Linked DNA regions of Caenorhabditis elegans. The protein of the gene in region 1 interacts with the protein of each later gene in a pairwise test. Each region holds a gene or a part of one and is shown in the gene's direction. Other genes may lie near its edges. The genes, in order: F34H10.3 and T06D4.1.

Region 1 (4,177 bases):
GGTTCCAAGAAATAGCATATTTTTCTATTAAGGGTTGCACTCAAGTGGAATTTCAAGGCATATTCTTGCAGCCCAACAAGGATTTGCTCACTCTCTCTCTCATTAGTCTTGCAAACTTTTTTAATACAATCAATGAAATCACAAAAGTACATTGATATTTTTAACCGTTTTAAAATTGATTACTAAAAGGTTTACAAATTTTCTGACGTATTACCTTGTTTGGTTTTGAACAAGTACTAAAATTTAAGCGTTTTAAAATTTATCAATTAAAAAAAATTATAGCCGATTACTCTTTCACTCAAAATAAGTGATTGATGTAACAAGTATTTTAATCTTGCCCTTCAATTTCCCAATAGAAAACAATATTGAGCAATATTGCAATTCTAATAGGGAAAAATAACGTTGTCAAAATTTAGAGATTGTTTTTAGAAATTTCGTTTTCACAGAATTCTGAACAGACTCCAAACATATTTAATAAGGCTTTGTTGCGCAACAGTAGTCATCCGTCACCCCTTCTCATTTATGTTAGACCACCTATCTGCAATCCGGTTGTTACCTCAAATGGAGCCCGTTCATTACGAACCGTGTCGCCTTCGATGAGTTCAATTGCGTGAACAATTCGTTGATTTAGACCACGAAGTTCAGCAATAACCGAACTGGGAACCACTCCTAGTTGCATGGTCACCTGACGGGATAGCTCACGAAAGTGAAAGATCACAGTGTTAATTTGTTCCTAAGACGTGTAATTATATATAAATATTGGCTTTCAACATGTACTCACAATGTGACGATAGTCTAGAACTTGACGAGGAGGTTCATACATGTCGCTGATCTTCCGTGGAGATGGATGCACTTCTAGAAATAAAGAATAGATGACATCGACATTTAACAATTATTTCCCTTGAACTCAGTTTTAACCTCGGGATAACAGACGAACTTACTTTTTCAAGGAAAGTAACTATGAGTGAAAAATCTAACTGAATAGGAACGCGTTTTCAATTGTATTGATGGGAATGAAAACGAATGTGTTTAGTTATGTGATAGAGACAACTATCAACACAAAAAATTTCCGCCGTCGTCCACGTAGCTTACCAATTTCGTGTTTTTTCGTTTGTCTTCTCCAACAGGACATCATCCCCATTAAAATAAGAATAGAGTAAGTGAACTTCAATTCCTTGATATGAAAACTGTCATCAATTTCCATATAGCGAATACCCGAACTAAAACTAATTATATTGAAGCGCAGAGGGGTTGGAGGAGTGTATGGGTGAAATTGAAGAAAGTTTATGTCTAGAATCGAAATAAGAAGTACACGCTGGAAGCCTTGGAAACAGCACAAGTGGTGTTGAAGAGAAGAAAAATTTTCTGAAAACGCAATGAGATGTAAGATGAGGCTGAAGACAGAAGTGGACTTAGAAGTGGCTCCGGGTAGCACTCAGCGCCATGCAGGAGCCAAGCACAGATACAACTTTTGTACACGGTAGCTGGCTTTTTGTGTGTGGGAAAGCTCATGTTATAACAAAATACGAGTATCAATTATTTTAGGATCAATCCAAAAATTTCATTTAATTGTACACTTTGCTCCCCGCTTCAATATTTATTGTTCTTAATAAGTTCTTCTTGTAAAACTTAAACTTGCTCAAAGCCTTCATAATCCCCAGCCCAAGTTTTCTTGATTTCAGATGACCGACACCGTGGAAAACTTAACAAAGAATATCGAGGATGCTGAATCAAAGGAATCGCCAAAGCTTACTAGAAAGCTCACGATAAACACTGAGGTCGCAGAGGTTGAAGGCCCACCCGAGAAAGTTGCAAAAGTAGAAGTGGAGGAGTATATGCCAGTGGAAGTCTTGCAGACTATCCAACAACTTTCAAGCCCGAAGCTTGGACATAATGGATTACCATGTCGTCCGAAAGCAATGACATTTGTGAATGGACGCCCGACACTTCCTGAGATGGGACCTCTTCAACAGTGCCAACATCTTCAACAAATCCAAAGCCTCATTCACTATCACGAACAACAAGTAAAATACCGGTCTTATATCCAATTAGATATCCTTCGTCATCTTCGCAAACAACTGAATGATCAAATGCTCCTACACCCACACCGTCGCCATTACGAAGCATTGGTAGAAGCAGCTAAATGCAATCGTCTATCCCCGTTGTCAGTGGCGGAGAGAGCTCAGCTAGAGTACTTCACACAAATGGCTGATTGGACATTGGATGCTCGCGTAAGTTTGGAGGAAGTTTGGAAATGGTAACTCCACGTATTTGGAAAAGGAGAAAATGCGTGTTGCGGGTGGGAAAATCAGAAATGCCAGCGTTCCCTAAAAAATTGTCAATTTCCGTTGTTTCAGGCCAGCTTGCAAGGCAAGGAATCGGTGACCTATCTCACGCTTTTTGGACGCCAAGTTTCTGACTTCAAGTCTCGTCTCAACGAAATTACAACCCATGAGCAGTTCCAGGTAAAAAAAACTTTTCAAAACTGTGACCGGATAAACGTGCTGTGTTGTCTAGTAAATTAAACGTAGTTCAGTTTATTATTCTAAATTCTAAATCATTCTAAAACTGAATTAAATTTGAAATTCATAACTGATGTAATAGAAGTTTCCGCTTTTCTCTGAAATTTTGTACAGGAATAACTACGCATAATAAAATTTTTTACACAGATTAAGATGTGTAGACAATTTCAATTAAATCTTATTAATGAATTTATTGACTTTAAGGTATTTGCACCAATGTTTGCTGAACGCATCGATTATCATCGTGAGCTCATCCATACTCTGAATCGTCGTTCATCTGTAAGCATTGCTTAAACATCTCGTAACATAACAAAAGTGTACATTTGAACAAGAATCTATAACCAAATTTTTGACTTACACACCACTGTTTTTGTCAAAGTATTGACGCTCTCCTTAAATGTTTCTCGCGTGATTCCGACTCCACTTTAAAAGGGAATCAGTTATCCAATCAAAAATGTAATCCGACATCTTTGTACATTGTTTGCTTTTTGAACACGTTGATCGTAAATTCAAAAAGTTAATTCCCTCTACGCTTCTCTCAAATTAAAATATCATTGTATGCTTTTCACAATTTAGTTGCCCTCAGTTACTCTACTTTTGTATTTTTGTATCTAAATTCCTCATCTCTGTCCTAGCTTTTCGAATAACAAACGATATCATTGTATCAATGTCCTGTGAATTTCCCCTTGCAGTTTTATATCGTGATTCCTTCCGTAGACCCTCGGTTTTAACTACTCTATTTTTACTCCCAACACATTTATTTTGTATATTGAAAAAATCCGGCTTGCCAAATCTATACGTTCCTGATTTATTGGATAATGTTTTTTGTGATCAAATCACTTAATTCCATTCATTCTTTCTATCATTCGAATTATTATATTTGAACAATAAATTTTAAACGGAAAACAAGATATTGTGAAATCAAAGTTATGCAAATTTGAATCAAATTAAATGTTGAATTGTTTGGATACTGGAGATAATTGTACAAAATCACAATGCAGACAGTTGCTTGTTGCTGTCAAAAATACAATCATTAGTCCTGAAGGTGTAGTAGCGCCACTGGGAAAATTGCTGCAAAACATGCATGTGGCACCAGAATGACCAAATGCCATATTAATGTCATATTTAAACATTTAAAAACTTGTTAAATTGTCAAAGTTACAGTTTTGACACTTTTTGGAAGCCGCCGAACAAAAAAAAATCTTGTTAAAATCTTAATCTTCGATTTTTCTACTTACGTTTCAAATATTTAGGCTCAAACATTGTAGGGATTAGAACATGCGACAGTGCTATATTTTTATCAAAAAGTGGCAAGTGTCACTTTTGACTGTCCATAAAAATTTTTTCAACAATTTTTGAAAAGTTTAGCTGTGATATTAGGTTATTTTGGCACCATAGTAGGGTTTTTTACAAATACAACACTAGCGCTTTAAATTTAACCACGTTTATTACCTCATTTTTAGGTATGATAGCAAGAATCGACGATGAGTTGAGCCAAGTGATCCCAAATCAATAGGAATGCATCACGATTATGCGGAATCATTTCCTGGAAAAATATTATTTTAAAATTTTAGAAGACCATATAATTATTTATATTTTTTTAATAAAAAAAAGTTCCTGAAAAATCGAAACGAGTTTTTTTCACATAAACATCA
Region 2 (4,639 bases), on another chromosome or scaffold:
TTAAGTTTCTACTGCATTTCTCCCTTTTTTTTTGGAAATCGGGAAATTCTATGTATTTCTGAAACGCATAATTTTGTGGCCAGAGGTTCTTCCTTCACTCTTGGGAAGACTTATTGACGCTGCGTCATCTGCAACTACGGATCGATAACATTCGACTACCAGCTGACTACCAGCTCAGCCATTTCTCAGCTCATTCTCTCTCCTCCAAGACTACTCGTTTGCCTTTTATTGATTTTTTAAGAAACTCCTTTACTGCTTTTTTATCCAATTTGTTTGAAATATTTCTAACTCTATAATTTCAGCAGGACAATGAATTCCGCTAAAAAGGAATTTGAGATTTCACACATTTTCACAGATGTATCAAAATTGGAAAACGGTAATTTTCTATTAAGCCCTGAAGAAGATCACTTCAATGTTCCATGGTAAATAGGTTTTATTTTACTAAAATGAATATAAAATGAACATTCAGGGACTTGCAACTTTATCGAGAAGATGATCATTTAGATGTGTACCTCCGTTGTACGAAATTGACGGAAAATGATGAAATTTGTGCAATTGATACGGAATTCGAATTAACTCTTAAAACTTCAAATGGGAAACAAATGAGTCGTAGGGTCAAAGTTGACTTTACACTTGAAAACATCATGATACCCGCATGGAGATGGTCTAAGGTTGTTAGTTGGGAGACATTGTTGAAGGAATACCTAATTGATGATAGTATCATTGTGGAAGCAGCCGTCATGATCAAAGCGATGACTGGGATCCCTAGGATGAAGCTTAGAAGCTTCGAGAAGTCGGCTCAGGAGTATTCTGATGCGATTATAGCAATTGGAGATGAAAAGTTCTACGTTCTCAAGAAGGTATTTGCATTTTTTGCTTTTGAATTTCAATTTTAAATGCTTTTCAGTTTCTCGCTGCTCACTCAACTTACTTCAAGGATCTCCTCTTCGGAGACTTCGACTTCGAACAAGCTGAAAATTCAGAAATCACACTCTCCGATATCAATTCTACCGATTTTCAGTGTCTCCTGGAGGTTCTATACGGAGAACCTGCTATTGATGGTAAAACTGAAAACATGTGAAAGTTCAAATTTTCTATTTTTTCTAGAAGAGAACATTGACGGAATCCTCAAATTGGCTCAGAAGTACAATATGCCCCTGCGATTCGGAGATGTGAAGAGTTCCTAATCAAAATTTCTGAAAGATCAATCAGGGAAAAGTTAAAGATTGCAAAGCAATACCAACTGGATAACTTGAAGGTAAGGATCATAGCTGAGCCTCCAATCCTAATCAGTCTGTTTAGAAATCATGTCTGTCGAAAATCAATATAATGGATGAGATCAAAGCGGCAATGGCATGCAATGTTGCTGAAATGGATCCAACTGTGCTGGCGCCTCTTCTCCAGAAATCGGTGGCTCTTAAATAATTTTTCTAAATTTCTTTTTGAATCAAAAGCACAGACACTGGGATTATGTTAATAAAATTTTCATTGTTAATGCTTGCATAATTATTTCCCGGATTTGCCCAGAAAATTTCGAACCGAACGGGGCAAATCTCACTCTGTTATGAGCCTTTGTTGAGTTGTTGAAGTTAAGGAACGCTGAGCGTTAACGCCGGAGCAAACACATAGGGTGACCAGGAAGAGTGTCGGCTGCTAGTACAATTTTTCTATGTATTATCTTTTTCTAGGCTAGTCTAGTTGAGTTTTGACCTACCAGGTTTTTTTGACCTACCCGGCGCCGAATTTTGTTTTCTTGTGTTTCCTTGGACTCTCACTGGATTTTTGTTCTTTCCCCTCATTTTTCGTCAAGCTTTCCTAGTTTTTTCTCGATTTCATCATCAAATTATTGATTTTTAGATGTCCGACGACCCGAATACCACTCAGGAACGGGCGATGGAAGGCCCATCGGAAAATCAAGCTGCTCGGCAACTAGAGGGCAACCAAGAAGAGGTAACATTTAACAATTTTTCTATTTCATAAATTCCCATTTTTCAGGCACAACGCCAACCAAAAGAAGAGCAAGCTGATCGAGAAGAAGCCAAGGGAGAAGAAGAAGCTCCACAGGTGGCCGCTGCTCTACCCATACCGGACAGCCCATTTCTTACCGAATTGGCCAGGCTTCTACGAGGATCCCTGCGACCATATCTCAACACAGAACCTGATGAAGTCATTGAAGCTGCGAGGCAGGATCACCAACTCGATCAAGAAGTTGCCAATGAGAACTTGTTACAGTATATCTGTAGGACGCTGGTGGAGGTATGTGTTGGGAGAAGATCCATCTAGCCCAATTTTTTTATAGTCGCCGCTGTTGCCCGAAAGTTGCCCAAGAGTTGCCCGATAGTTGCTCGATAGTTGCCCGTTGAAGCCCGCCAATTGCCCGCTGCTGGCCTTTTTTTGCTAGTTGACATCCGCTCCTTGCCTGGTTGAAAATACCTTTTGCAGGGGGTTTCCTGAGTTTCAGCGCTTCAATTTACGTTCCTAACCAATCGTATTTCAGAGCAACGATATGGGTAAACTCGCCGAGATCAGGGAACTTTTCGCCAGAACTCCCGAGGATCCCGCATTTAACACTCCTGCAGGCATCGATGATTCAGCTATGGTTGGTACTTCAAAATCCCTGCTCTTCGTCAATAGTTCCTACTTTCAGAATCAATTTTACGAGTTGATCCGAGACTGTCGAGTTGTTCCAGAGGATGATCAGACTTTCGTGCCAAGACAAGCGCTGGTATACTTTAGAATGCTGGATTCTAATAACTTAAATTTAAATTTCCAGGCTACTAGGATCCACCTGATCATTGATAGTTTTCAAGCGAGACGGGAAAGCGAGTTCCTACGGCAATGGTGTCAACAGGTTGGTTGCCGTCGTTGAAAGACTCACTGAACCAAATTTCAAATTTCAGAATATTGTATGCCTGCTGTATGGAAATCCCGTCCCCGAGATGAAAGATTTTGCCTATCGGATTTTAATTGAGATGCTGACTAGCTCTTCCACTTGGGTAAGGATTTCAACAACTCTTCAACTTGTTTACTAAATCCCCCTTTCAGACTGCAGAGTTGGAATCATTCGCAAACGAGTTGAGTCGGAAAAGAGGCACGTTCATTAACGATTATTGGGCCACGATTCGGGATCAAAATGAAGCAGGTGATTTGGATCCCAAACGGACACTCTTTGCGGACTTTCGAGACCAGCATTCCGTGTTTGGTAATGTTCAATTCGATATCTTCCGTGAACGCTTGGCGCAATTGGAAAAGCTTTGGCATTCGGTTAGTTTCGGTCATTCAGTTTTCAACCAGAATTTCAAAAATTACAGCAAATGAGGATGTTCGATGTTCCGGATAAGGTTCTATGTGTGACTGGTATAGTGACGGATACAATGACTGAAATGTTGATGGGAGTCAAAGACGGGGTAGGTTAGGCGCCCAGGAAGCCCTATAGCAATTTTCTTTCCTTTTCAGAAGCCCAATATCACACCGTTCCTGAAAAAAGCTCGCATATTTTATCGCTTAAGTGATGGAGCTGAAACATCCGAAGCACCAGCAGAAGCATCAGCAAGAGCATCCGAAGCGCCAGAAGCTCCAGCGTTACCACCAAAACGTTCCAGAGGTATCAAGAGAAAGCTGAGTGAATACGCCGAAGAGCTCTTTGAATCAAAAAAGCCTAAGGTATGTAGCTCCATTTTTGTAACCTTAAAATCTACTTCTAACAATTTCAGAGCGACGAGCTTCCGACTGCTGAGCAATGGATGTATTTCCTCCAACACTGTCTACAAGGACCGGAACAAGATGAGCAAAGAGGCGGCAATCAATAAATTAAAATTATTCTTTTTTATTTGTTGTGTGTATTTTTATTGTAAGTATTCAATAGTTTTGAACTATTTTTAGCCTATCAGTTGAAAACATATTTTCAATATTTTGAAAACGAAAGTTTGAAACTCTAAGTATCCCTACAGTAACCCTGAATTGGAGGCAATGACAAGCCCTTTAACTTTGCTGATTGGTCGCACTTTCTCTCACTTTTCAATAAGAAGAAAATATCTTTAAAGCTTACTCGAGAAGAAAAAAACAAAAAAAAAAAGCAACACATTATTGACGATTGTGAATCCGACGCCAAATCATTGCAATCAAATCTTTGTGTTTTGAGATTTGGCGGCTGATGTTCACCATTGCTGACTTTAAACGATCCTGGCCAACTTGCGGGACTCGAAGCTCCCCGAGCAAAGCAAGAGGCTCCAAATTGAGAACGAAAATCAAAATCTGGAAAGTTTGAAGTTCGACAAATGATAATAGGTTCTCCAAAGGGCTCAAAAACGATTCCGCATGGTGATAGCGGCGATTTTCAGAATGCAGTTGTGTGAGCTCTCTCTTAAGATTGTGGAGCTCTCTCGTCGCTCTGTCGAGTCTGCCCCATAGTGTACGGACTTCCATTGGGCCCTGAACCTCGTTATCTTCTTCTTCGTCGACGTCGTCGTCTTCATCATCTTCCTGCAAAAAAAATTTTGGCAGTGTACGACTTAACTTAGAAAATTTGGGACAGAAAGTTGGCAGTGTTCGACAGAAAGTCGATAATATTTGATAGAAAAGTGGAGAAGAGCGGCAGAAAGTCGACAACGTCTCATAGAAAGTTGGCAAACTTCTACAG

What was found.
Region 2: the proteins of F34H10.3 (region 1) and T06D4.1 interact in a two-hybrid assay, tested with the Caenorhabditis elegans proteins (one large-scale study listed by BioGRID).

Annotation. Positions count from the first base shown.
Region 1 is NC_003284.9:9,632,531-9,636,707, reverse strand, and holds F34H10.3 (uncharacterized protein), read left to right. Parts: upstream 1-1,682; coding exon 1,683-2,231; intron 2,232-2,357; coding exon 2,358-2,465; intron 2,466-2,726; coding exon 2,727-2,816; 3' UTR 2,817-3,424; downstream 3,425-4,177. Other genes in the region: F34H10.5 (Mediator of RNA polymerase II transcription subunit 22), read right to left, coding at 557-733, 782-823.
Region 2 is NC_003280.10:3,379,979-3,384,617, forward strand, and holds T06D4.1 (Type VI secretion system protein TssA), read left to right. Parts: upstream 1-1,857; coding exon 1,858-1,950; intron 1,951-1,995; coding exon 1,996-2,256; intron 2,257-2,299; exon of another isoform or gene 2,300-2,454; intron 2,455-2,497; coding exon 2,498-2,599; intron 2,600-2,647; coding exon 2,648-2,725; intron 2,726-2,773; coding exon 2,774-2,851; intron 2,852-2,900; coding exon 2,901-2,996; intron 2,997-3,045; coding exon 3,046-3,264; intron 3,265-3,311; coding exon 3,312-3,407; intron 3,408-3,456; coding exon 3,457-3,663; intron 3,664-3,713; coding exon 3,714-3,809; 3' UTR 3,810-4,039; downstream 4,040-4,639.